Cricetulus griseus: one gene and its partners. The protein of the gene in region 2 purifies or fractionates together with the protein of the main gene of each other region. This does not show direct contact. Links are inferred from orthologs where the notes say so. Each region holds a gene or a part of one and is shown on either strand. Other genes may lie near its edges.

The links. Proteins that work in one complex are often made in the same cells at the same time.
Region 1: the proteins of Wdr77 (region 2) and Sirt7 purify together in Homo sapiens (affinity purification with mass spectrometry; 3 studies listed by BioGRID, with this or other methods). This does not show direct contact. The link is inferred for Cricetulus griseus from reciprocal best matches to the Homo sapiens genes WDR77 and SIRT7.
Region 3: the proteins of Wdr77 (region 2) and Snrpd3 purify together in Homo sapiens (affinity purification with mass spectrometry; 3 studies listed by BioGRID and IntAct, with this or other methods). This does not show direct contact. The link is inferred for Cricetulus griseus from reciprocal best matches to the Homo sapiens genes WDR77 and SNRPD3.

Annotation. Positions count from the first base shown.
Region 1 is NC_048600.1:133,112,892-133,116,637, forward strand, and holds the end of Sirt7 (NAD-dependent protein deacetylase sirtuin-7), read right to left. Parts: intron 3,743-3,746; coding exon 3,670-3,742; intron 3,205-3,669; coding exon 3,106-3,204; intron 3,034-3,105; coding exon 2,797-3,033; intron 2,666-2,796; coding exon 2,585-2,665; intron 2,423-2,584; coding exon 2,316-2,422; intron 1,926-2,315; exon of another isoform or gene 1,840-1,925; intron 1,185-1,839; coding exon 983-1,184; 3' UTR 501-982; downstream 1-500. UniProt on the Homo sapiens protein: NAD-dependent protein-lysine deacylase that can act both as a deacetylase or deacylase (desuccinylase, depropionylase, deglutarylase and dedecanoylase), depending on the context. Specifically mediates deacetylation of histone H3 at 'Lys-18' (H3K18Ac).
Region 2 is NW_023276806.1:51,042,343-51,045,600, reverse strand, and holds the end of Wdr77 (methylosome protein 50), read left to right. Parts: intron 1-597; coding exon 598-706; intron 707-1,228; coding exon 1,229-1,297; exon of another isoform or gene 1,298-1,357; intron 1,358-1,452; exon of another isoform or gene 1,453-1,589; intron 1,590-2,007; coding exon 2,008-2,167; 3' UTR 2,168-2,758; downstream 2,759-3,258. UniProt on the Homo sapiens protein: Non-catalytic component of the methylosome complex, composed of PRMT5, WDR77 and CLNS1A, which modifies specific arginines to dimethylarginines in several spliceosomal Sm proteins and histones.
Region 3 is NW_023276806.1:263,052,713-263,056,178, forward strand, and holds the end of Snrpd3 (small nuclear ribonucleoprotein Sm D3), read right to left. Parts: coding exon 3,318-3,466; intron 725-3,317; coding exon 663-724; 3' UTR 501-662; downstream 1-500. UniProt on the Homo sapiens protein: Plays a role in pre-mRNA splicing as a core component of the spliceosomal U1, U2, U4 and U5 small nuclear ribonucleoproteins (snRNPs), the building blocks of the spliceosome.

The DNA.
Region 1 (3,746 bases), on a different chromosome or scaffold from region 2:
TCACCCCGCCTGTCGCGGCCAATTGCGTGCGTTGCTCCCGGCCCCGCCCGCGGCTGGCCCCACCCCTCCGGCCAACCTGCGCGACCAATGGCGTGTGTCGAAGGTCGGGGCTCAGCGGGCTGCACCTCCCAGGGGTGTGCTGCAGAACTGCCTCCAGGCAGGCACTGTGCCCAGAGGGAGCCGGCTGGGACCGCGAGTAAGCGGGTGCGCTCGCCCCCACCCCACCCCAGCCCACCCCACCCGTGCATTAAGCATTCCCAGGGACCTGGTTATTTGTTTTGTTTTGAGACAGGGTTTCTCTGCGTAACAGCTCTGGCTGTCCTGAAACTTGTTTTGTAGACCAGGCTGGTCTCGAACTCCCATAGATCCCCCTGCCTCTGGCTCCCAAGTGATGGTGTGTACCGCCACCCCCACTCACCCACCCCACCCGCCTTGGGCATAGCTGGCCTCAGACATTTTCAGATACTCCGTGGTGCACGTAGAGTCATTGGGACACCAAGGCAGGAGAGAGATGTTTTAATACGACTTGCTCAGACTGGAGGCTTAGATCCGCCCCTGTGCTGCAGACCCAACACAGAAAAAGGTTTCTATAAAGTGAACGCTTTTAGTAATAAGTAGTAGAAATGGGGAGGCCCTGAGACTAGCCTGGAGAGTGAGGTAAGGCAGTGGTGGGCTCCTCTGCTGGCCAGGCCAGGAAAGACAGCTCTGTTTTCACAAAGGCCTTGCTGCCGCCTTTGTACAGGGGGGATGGAGGGGGTCGGCGTCCTTGACAGTCAAGCCCATATTGGGGCAGTTACAACAGTGCAAGAGAGGCTTCCCACAAGGACAAATGGCTAAAAAAAAACATCACCGTGAAATGCCACCCCCAAGAGTTCTTCCCACTAGATCCGGTGGGGGCACTGTAGCCTTCACGGTGACATAGGCCCCTGAACAAGCGTCAAAGCCCTCTGCAAAGTGCCAATTGTTCTTTGTCAACGCCTGGCTAGGTTGCTTTCTTCCTTTTCGAACGCTTGGCGCAGCCCCTGCCAAACCAGCCTCCTAGGATGGGGGGAGCTGGGCTAGGTGGTGCACTCTGGTCCCCAGGCGGGGCTTCTTCTCTACTTCTGCACAGCGACTTCCTACTGTGGCTACCTTCTTCACCAGCGCGGAGAGGAGTGGCCAAGGAGAAGATGGGGTCTTGCCACCTAACAGAAAGAGGAGCAGCATCAGGGAGGTCTGAGAGCCTCCCCACCACAACCCTCCCGGGCGCAGGAAAAGCTGTCTGAGGCCAACTGTCATCCTACCCCTTCCCTCTGCGTCCTAAGGGTGGCTGGGCTCTGACTATTAGCAGCTTCAATGTCACCCAGCTATAAAAGAGCTGCGGGGGACAGTCTCCCTGGGTGGCCACTCAAAGGCCGGCCGGCTGGCCGGCCACAGCTCTTGCTGAACTCTGCAGTGTCTCATCCATCATTAGTGGGCTCAGCACACACGGGAAGGGTTGTGCTCGCTGCAGGACGGCTCCATCTCCAAGGATAAGTTGCTAGCAACTCTGGGCCCCACCTTTCACTTGTATGGATGAGGGCAGATGGACCAGACCCTTTACCCTTTCCAGACTGCATGATGGGGATGGGAAGGGAAGGCCAGTTGACTAGGGGGGCATTGGCCTACAGACTAGACCATGAAGAGATCATGTATCTGATTGAGATGCAGAACCACATATCATAAACATAAGATGCAGATAAGCACTGATTTGAAAAATGAGCTAAGTTAATGTTAAAAAAAAAAACAACAACAATAACAACAAAAAACAATACAGCACAGGAGAGGCCCACGTCACAGAACACCACAAACATAACATACAAGAATTGCCAGGCCCAGAGGTGAAGGGATCCTTAATTTCTTGAACCCTTTGATTAAAAGAAGTTATTGATTTCCCCTATAAGACCCTGAAAATTCACAGAGAAAGAAAGTGTAAACTTTTCACTCAATATACACACCGCGTCTAAATTATCACAAATTCTCTATCAAGGCAATTTGATTAAGCTTTCCCCAGATATCCCAGAACCAAGGGCAGATTCTGTCTGACCAGAGTTGCAGTCCTCACCCCTTACAGTTGTCCACCCAGGCTGCAAGAGCTCTGTGGAGAAACATCCTATAGAGAACACGCTAGCAGACCCCCCTCTCCTCACAGAAATGCCAGGCACCATACCGGTCAGGGAGGAAGAGTGCACCTGTGTGGAGCCTCACCCGAGCTGGTCCCTCTGGAGGCTCACAGAAGACAGACACAGCCCATCACACAGAAGGGCAGAAATGGCCCATGCGCTGCACCCACTCACCGGCTGTAGACTGGGATCTCCAGGCCCAACTCATCCATGAGGAGCTGCATGACATCATCACATTTCCCATGAAGCTTCAGTGCGGCCCAGTCATCCTTTGGTGTCCACTGAAGACAAGAAAGGCGATGAGAGGAACCTCCAGCCCTTTGCTTGTCCCCTGCACGCTGGGTCAGCCATCTCCAGGAGCATGGACTTGTGCAAGACTCCCGGGATGCACAAATGTGGCACACCCCCAGGAATAAGGAAGAAGCTGTAAGCACCCATGTTACCTGCAAGTTCACAATGTAGAGTTTGGGCCGCCGGCTTGGAGGCTTCGTCATGCACCAGAGGCGGGGGTACTTCTTCAGTACCTGTAGGGATGGACAGACGTAACACAGGAGGGGGATGAAAACAGCAAATCTAATGCCCACTAATAGTTCTGGGCAGGCAGCCCCGTATCATACTCAACCCACAATGCGTTCATGGCATTGTCAGCACGCACCTTCAAGCTGGACCCTAGACACAGGATCGTGTCTGCTTTGCTAGCAGCTTCGGTCGCTGCCTCCCAGTTCAGAGGCTGCCCTAATGTCCCCCTCTCCCCAAAGTGCACAATGGTATCCCGGAGCTGGGTCCCACACTTATGGCAGGTCCGGCCGGTCTGGTGCCGGTGAAGGGCCGTACGCTCGGTCACATCAAACACTCGCACATACTCCCTGTTAGGGACGCAGGAGGTGCAGACCTGAGGATAAGAGCACACAATGAGTGAGACATGCCTGTCACCCAGGCCCTGCATCCCTCTGGCACTGCTCACTTCAATGTACATATTCCCGTGGAGCTCTGAGATGGCGGTTCGTGGGAGCCCACTGCGCAGGTGGAGCCCGTCGCAGTTCTGAGACACGACATGCTGTACCTGGAAAAAGAGACACGTGGCAATCAGTAAGGGACGGAGGAAGCACCCTGTATCTGTGAAATTATCCTGAGCCCAGGAGGGCCCTGTGGTAGGAAGGAGTCATGTCCTCCCCTGCTGGCTCTGAAACACTGGAAGCATCCAGGAGAACAAGCATCTGTACTGCAAGTTAGGTAGCAGCTTGGGGCACTGGATCAACACCCTCTTGGGTCCTTCTCTTTCAGGTCCCCCAGGAGCCCAGACAGATCCCTTTCCTTTGCTCAGCAGACTTCCCCTGTGGCTAGGATGCTGCCTAAAGCCAGCCCTTCCACCTGCAGACTCACAGTTGGACAGGGGCTACTCCTCCTCCTTGGAAAGGGAGCACAGCAGGGACCAAACAGGAAGCTGAGCTCCTCGGTCTGTTTATCACAGGGTGACTGAGTGAAGCAGCTCCCCGCCTGGCCGCGGAGGGGCAGCTCTGGCTCTTACCAGCTTTTGCTCATGCAAACGGGTGATGCTCATGTGTGTGAGGGTGGGCTCCGCTTCACTTAGGTCAGCAGCACTGC
Region 2 (3,258 bases):
GATGGGAAAGCGCTACCTTCGAGGTGTACACACTCTTGTCAACACACTTCAGCACTACATGAATTAGAGCAGTTTTGTTTAGCTTTGGGGGACATAATTTTTTCCTAGTAGATTGGATTCCTCATGGATCCAGCTCCCTTATTCTCGGCATGATTAGAAATCATTGGGCCACTTAGCAAGCAGCTTTGCTGTTTAGGGAATTATGTGGGTATGACTGCATATGGTAACAGCTTGTAGTTAAAGTAATAAGTATCCAGTAATTGTCACAGCACACAGTAACTTGCTTATCCTACCTTACAAAAGGAAACTGGTGCTCTGGGTGGTGAACTTGTCCATATCTCGAGGAACTAAGATTCATGCAAATCCAGGACTGGCATATCAAAGCCTAAGGTTTTTGTTGTTCTTTTCTCTCCTAAGACAGGGTCTTTCTATGTAGCTCTGGCTGTTCTAGAGCTTATTATTTAAATCAGGCTGGCCTTGAACTCAGATAGATCCTCCTGCCTCTGCCTCCTGCATGCTAGTATTAAAGGCGTGCTTGACTGTGGACAGCCTGAAGTGTATGTTCTTAACCATGGTAACATGCTGTTTCTTCAACAGGTGATGAGAATGGATCTGTCTCTCTTGTGGACACCAAGAATGCAAGCAGTACCCTCAGCTCAGCTGTGCACTCCCAGTGTGTCACTAGGCTGGTATTCTCTCCACACAGGTACTGTTTGTCATCAGGGGTTTGGAAGGGATGGGTTGGGCCAGTGGTGAGGGGTAGGAATGGAGTGATAAGGAATGTATCTATTGGCACAGCATTAGCTGGTTACATTGTTCCTTAGATGGAACAATGTAAGTACTCGAGCTTGGTCTTCCTAAGCTAGTCAGTACAGTTCTTATTAGGGTTGCATAGTCTAAAAACAGCTGAAATGTGATCTCATACCTGTTCAACACAGCTTGATTGATGTTAGGCTTCTGGCACCATGTGCTTAAGGAGCCTGATTCTGGGTAATTGCTAATGTAGAGAGGGACCCATTGGGTAGTTGGTTACCAGGGTGGTTTCTATGAGTACTGTCTCTGTTCCATTTTTATTGGAATTATAATGGCAGGAAGACCTTAACCCAAAGGTGGGTATCAGGCTGCCTTTTCCCCTGGCTCAGTTTATGGTGAGTTTGGGGCTGGTGCAGTCAGATTTTGGTTATGGAATCTAGGCTTTATCTTCTCTCCCCTTTGTTCCCTCTCCTAGTGCTCCCTTTCTGGCCTCTCTCAGTGAAGACTGCTCAATTGCTGTGCTGGATTCAAGCCTTTCTGAGGTGTAAGTTTGAAGTAGAACCCTGTGGTTAGGAATCAGGCATCAAGACCAATGGGCAAGCAGGTCTGTTTTGTCTTCAGGAACTTGCATGTAGAATTCTTCCTTTGTTGGGACTGGAGAAAAGCTCAGTAGTTAAGAATACTTCCTTTTGTTCCCAGCTTCCACATCCGTCTGCTCCCAGCTGTCTGTCACTCCAGATCGAAGGCATGTGATGCCTCTGCTTCTGTGGGCCTCTGCACTTGGGTGCACATACCCACTTACACATTATTAGAAATAAATAGAAGAAAATTCTCCATCTTTGTCTGTAGAGGTTCTCTCCATTTGTGTCTGTGTGTCTGCAGAGACTGAACACTGGAAGCAGTCTGATTGTAGGCTAAGTCTAGCTAGCATCCCAGCTTCACGGAGGGAACCCCTGCTGTGAAGTGAAACCTGCTATAGAGAGAAAGGCATGGGAAGGAAGACCCCGGTGTACATCTCTCTCTGCTATGACTTCCTGCTTGGTTGTAGATATACTACTTCTTTGCTCTGCATACTATTTCTTCCCCTAGGAAAGTAGACTGGATTGGATTGAACATCCACTGTCCTGGTGATAAGCTGTACAAATGGTGAAATGTTTAAAAACAATGTGTCCTGATTATGTTAGGTTTTCTTTCTGTCTTCTTCCCACCTCGGTTTTTGTGTTATCTCTTACCACACACCCACTTTTGTTCCAGGTTTAGAAGTCGAGCCCACAGAGACTTCGTGAGAGATGCTACGTGGTCTCCACTTAACCACTCCCTCCTTACCACAGTTGGCTGGGACCATCAAGTCATCCACCATGTTGTGCCCATTGAGCCTCTCCCAGCCCCTGGACCTGAGAATGCCTCAGAGTAGAATGGATTTCAGAAAAAAAAAAAAAAAATAGCCCTCCACCTGCAAGAATCTGCTTGCCTCTGCCTCCGTATTGTGAGAGCACAGGAAGGAGCCTTGTAGAGCATGTTACTCCCTAGTCCCGTGCAATAAACAGGCAGACTCTCAGCCTGAGGGAGGCTGCAGCCCATAGTGTCTAGGAGGGAAAACTTCCTTTATATAAATGGGTATATGTGTTCGAGAGAGCACATGTGTGTGAGTGTATTAAGTAGTTTGGGGTGGGGAAAATTATTCTTCAGCTTTCCCAAAGCACTGCTCTTTATTTCCCACAAAGTGAGAACAGTTTTATGCTTCCCAAGTCCAAGAATTGGATATGTTGTCTGGGATATGGAATGTGAGTATCCCTAGATTTGTGGGAGTGGTTCCACCACTCAGAGATGGGGTAACTTATTTTTATATAGAGTTTAATTCATTATGGGGAATACTTCAGTCCATAAAAGTCCAGCACAGTATACCTTGAGAAGACACAGAAATACCACAGTTTTGTACAAATCCATGTTAAACTGAATTTTCAGATCCATTTTCTTGGTGAATAAATTTGGCTGTTGCAATGTAGTTCTTGCTCACCCTTTGCCCTCCTCTGTGTTGTATGAGAGAGATGAGTGTTTTCCTGTCCTAGATTTCATAGAAAGTTTTAGGGATGATTGAACATTTAAAGGGGTTTCAGTGAAGTCAGAAAACTGACAGGGTTTCTTACAGAGAAATCTTTGTCATTTTTCCCACCTAAAGATACCCTGAGACCTGATTGCCTCTGGGCACCTTCCTCTGGAGATATGAAGTCTGAGTGCTGTATTTGTGAACTATTAAGATTTAAGATCCATCATTAGGGAAATTCTGAAATACTGAAATGTGAATTAAAGACTTGGGTCATGGCCTTTTCCCCCACCAAAGCTGTTGTTACTTTTTGTCTGCTTTACTTAGGTGAGTCACCAGGATGTTGTCAATTTTACTGCCGCTGTCTGTATTTTACCATTCCTGAAGTAGTTAGTTAAGGGAGAACTTAAACATTTATTTATACTTGGTGTTGGTGGTCTAGCCACTCCATTTAGAGTTCA
Region 3 (3,466 bases), about 210 Mb from region 2:
TCAAATACTCTGCATATCTTATCCTCCCTTGCTAATAATTAATGTGCTAACCAATGCTGAGATGCTAACTACACTGTGTGGAGCCAGTAGAGTAGCCACAGATAGGGACCCCCAGGAGCCTCTGCATTACTTCTTAGTATCAGAAGACTGTGCTCAAATGCTGAGGGGCTAGAGTAACCAGTGCTCATCAGGCCACGAGACATCTTCACAGGTCAGGTTGATGGCGCCCCACAAAGGTTGACTGAGCAAAGTGCCACACCGAGTGCACGTGTCAAAGATAACCCAGGTCCTGGAGTTTCTCTGAGTCAGCCTTCTCTTGGCTCAACTAGAAACTGGCCGACACAGCACCTGAACTCTTATCAACAACTGCTTTTGAAAAGTACTGGCATTCTCCCAGCACATGTCCAAGGGTGTCAGATTTTAACCTGCTGCCAAAGCAAACTACAGAATGAACACATAGTTCTTATTTCCTTAAAAACAAAAGAAAACAAACCCTCACATAAACAAACCACAAAACAACCAATTTTATTAAGTTTAACAGTTTCTCTGATACAAAGAGAAATATCAAAAGAAAACCTACAACATATGCACACATAGCCTCTCCTCCAATCTACAGTAACCTAAGAGAAAAAAGGACACAGTTCTCTTCCACAGAAATTTATTTATCTTCGCTTTTGGAAGATGTTTCCACGCCCCATTCCACGTCCTCTTCCTCTGGCAGCCACTGAAAGGAAGAAGAGGAGAGGTCAGAGTGTGTGGGAGTGCTCATGACAAGCTAGAGCCCGGGCATCAGCTCTGGAAGGGGCCTGAGAGGCCACCAAAACCAGCATCACCCCAATTCACTACCTGTCACACAGTGACGGGGAGGAAAAGGAGTGCAAGTAGACACTGATTTCTGGCTATTAGAGTGGTAGGTAGGGTTGACAGTAGTCTGAGTACAACAGGAAAGACAAAGTCTCAGGACTGGCCTATGGCAAAATACTATGCCATTTAGATGCATTCAATTCACTCTGTATGGTGTAAGGGAAGGAAGGGTGTGTGTGTGTGTGTGTGTGTGTGTGTGTGTGTGTGTGTGTGTGTGTGTGTGTGTGTGTGTGTGTGTGTGTGTGTGTGTGTACACAGAAGAGGGGGAAAGCTTTAAGTATTGTTCCTCAGTACCATTCATTACTCTTCCTTCCTTCCTTCCTTCCTTCCTTCCTTTCTTTCTGGTTTTTCGAGACAGGGTTTCCCTGTGGCTTTGGAGGCTGTCCTGGAACTTGCTCTTGTAGACCAGGCTGGCCTCGAACTCACAGAGATTCAACTGCCTCTGCCTCCCAAGGGCTGGGATTAAAGGCGTGCACCACCAACGCCTGGCTCCATTACTTTGTTTCTTAAGACAAGGTCTGTCACTGGCCTGGAGCTTGCCAAGTAGACTAGATTGGCTGGCTAGGGACCCTTCTTGGTCTTGTCAGTGCTGGGCTTACAAGCAGGTGCTACCATGAATGTACTGAACTCAGGTATTCATACTGTGTGGAAAGCTCTTTACCCACTGAGCTAAACCACCCTGCCCTCAATTCACTTTTGAAACTCTCCAGCACATATACTAAGTGCCTGTTAATTCTGGATAAGGAGTCTTTGGGCTTTTGGGCATGAAAGAAATGCTTAATAACAAAAACAAAATAACACTACCCATAAAAAGGCACAAGTCTCCCACTCTGTGACCTATGTGCCCAGGAACATGGAGCAGTCCCAAGGGAGGAGTCTGATGGAAACCTATGCACCTGCTGATAGGGACCAGAGCCAGAGGTTGGGAAAGGCACAGGTGGCTCATGTAGCAGTCATTGGCCAGGGACAACTCACTGCCTGAAGTAAACAACAATGACTGGCATAGATGGGACACCCAGTGTCACTATGACAGCAAGAGCAGTCATAGTGGGCGCAAAGGGAAAAATTTTCTCTCACACTTTTTTGTATCTATTTATTCATGTCTGTGTGTACTGTGTGCATGTAGAAGTCAGAGGACAATTTCTGTCAGGGTTACATGAAAACCACCTTTACCACCAAGTCATCTCTGGTCCCAAGACTTTAATCAGCTCTTAAAACAAAAGAAAACAAGCAAACAAACAAAACAAAGAATAAAACTACTCTATCTTTAAACACAGAAGCTACCTCACATATAAAACACGCAATAAATAACGTGGCAGAATTTTCCAGGGACCCAAATATAAACCATAATTGGGACAATCTCCAAGAGCAGCTAAGCAGACACTGGGAGACAGTGTGGCTACACTGCTGTTTTGTCTCAGAGGGATTTAATGTCAAATTTAAGAAAACTTGAAACACAGGATGGCAAGATGGTTTGTCAAGTAAAGATGCTTGCTGCCAATCCTGCAGATGTAAGTTCAATTCCCAGAGCCCCATGGTGGAAGGAAGAACTGATTCTGACAAGTTGTACTCTCATGTCCACATGTGTCCCTTTCCCCACAAAGAAGCTAATCCATGCAACTTTAAAAATTAACAAGAGAGAGCCAGGTGTTGGTGGCGCTCGCATTTAATCCCAGCACTTGGGAGGCAGAGGCAGGTGGATCTCTGTGAATTTGAGGCCACCCTGGCCTATAGGACAGTCAAGGCCCCAGCTGCACACTGTAGGAGAGGTGAGAAGTATAGAGAAAATGTATGGTTAACTTAAGGGGGAACTCCAGTGAAGCAGCAAGGGCAGCCATGCTCCTAAGTAACGCTGATAAGCTCACTGGCTCATCAAGACAGACTTGAGTGGAACTGTGTTTGGTTTGTTCTACCCCTTCTGTCTTTGGTGAATGGGGGATGTCACGTACAGTTCTAGGAAGGTACCCTTCTGTTTCAGGTGTTAATTCACATCCTCACTAGACTAGAACATGCTGCCTAGCCCTCCTGGATAGAATTTTTGAGAACAAAGGGCCTTCACTATAGAAGACCATTTCACTTAAGACAGGGTTCTCTCTGCCTGCCTCTCCAGGGTCTTGCTGTGTAGCACAGGCTGGCCCCCTCAGCCTAAGCCTCTTGAGTGCTGCCATTATAGGTGCGAGCCACCAACCTTGCTCAAGGAATCTGCATCTTTTTTTTTTTTTTACCCCCCTAAGGAGAGATTTGGGATTTTACTAAACTCCGTGATAGGATCAAGTAAGGCAAGAAAGGTAACAGGGAAAAGCCCCCGGTACCAAGATTTCTCAAGCCTGGGGGTAGGTCAGGACAGGGTATAGCAACATGCGGTACAGTCATGTCTCCATGCAACAATAGGGCCTTTCCCTAAAAGAACAGGGCAAGGTGGAGATTCTGAAGCCAGCTCACAAAACACCTACCTTGGGCCTTCAGGATAGCAGCTTTTCCTCGGCCAGCCCCGGAGCCTTGATTCTTATTTTTCATACTCTTTAACATGGGTGCGTTTTTCAGCATGTCAGGCAAAATCAGAAATCGGATCTTGCTGCCACGTATGTATACCTGTTCCAGC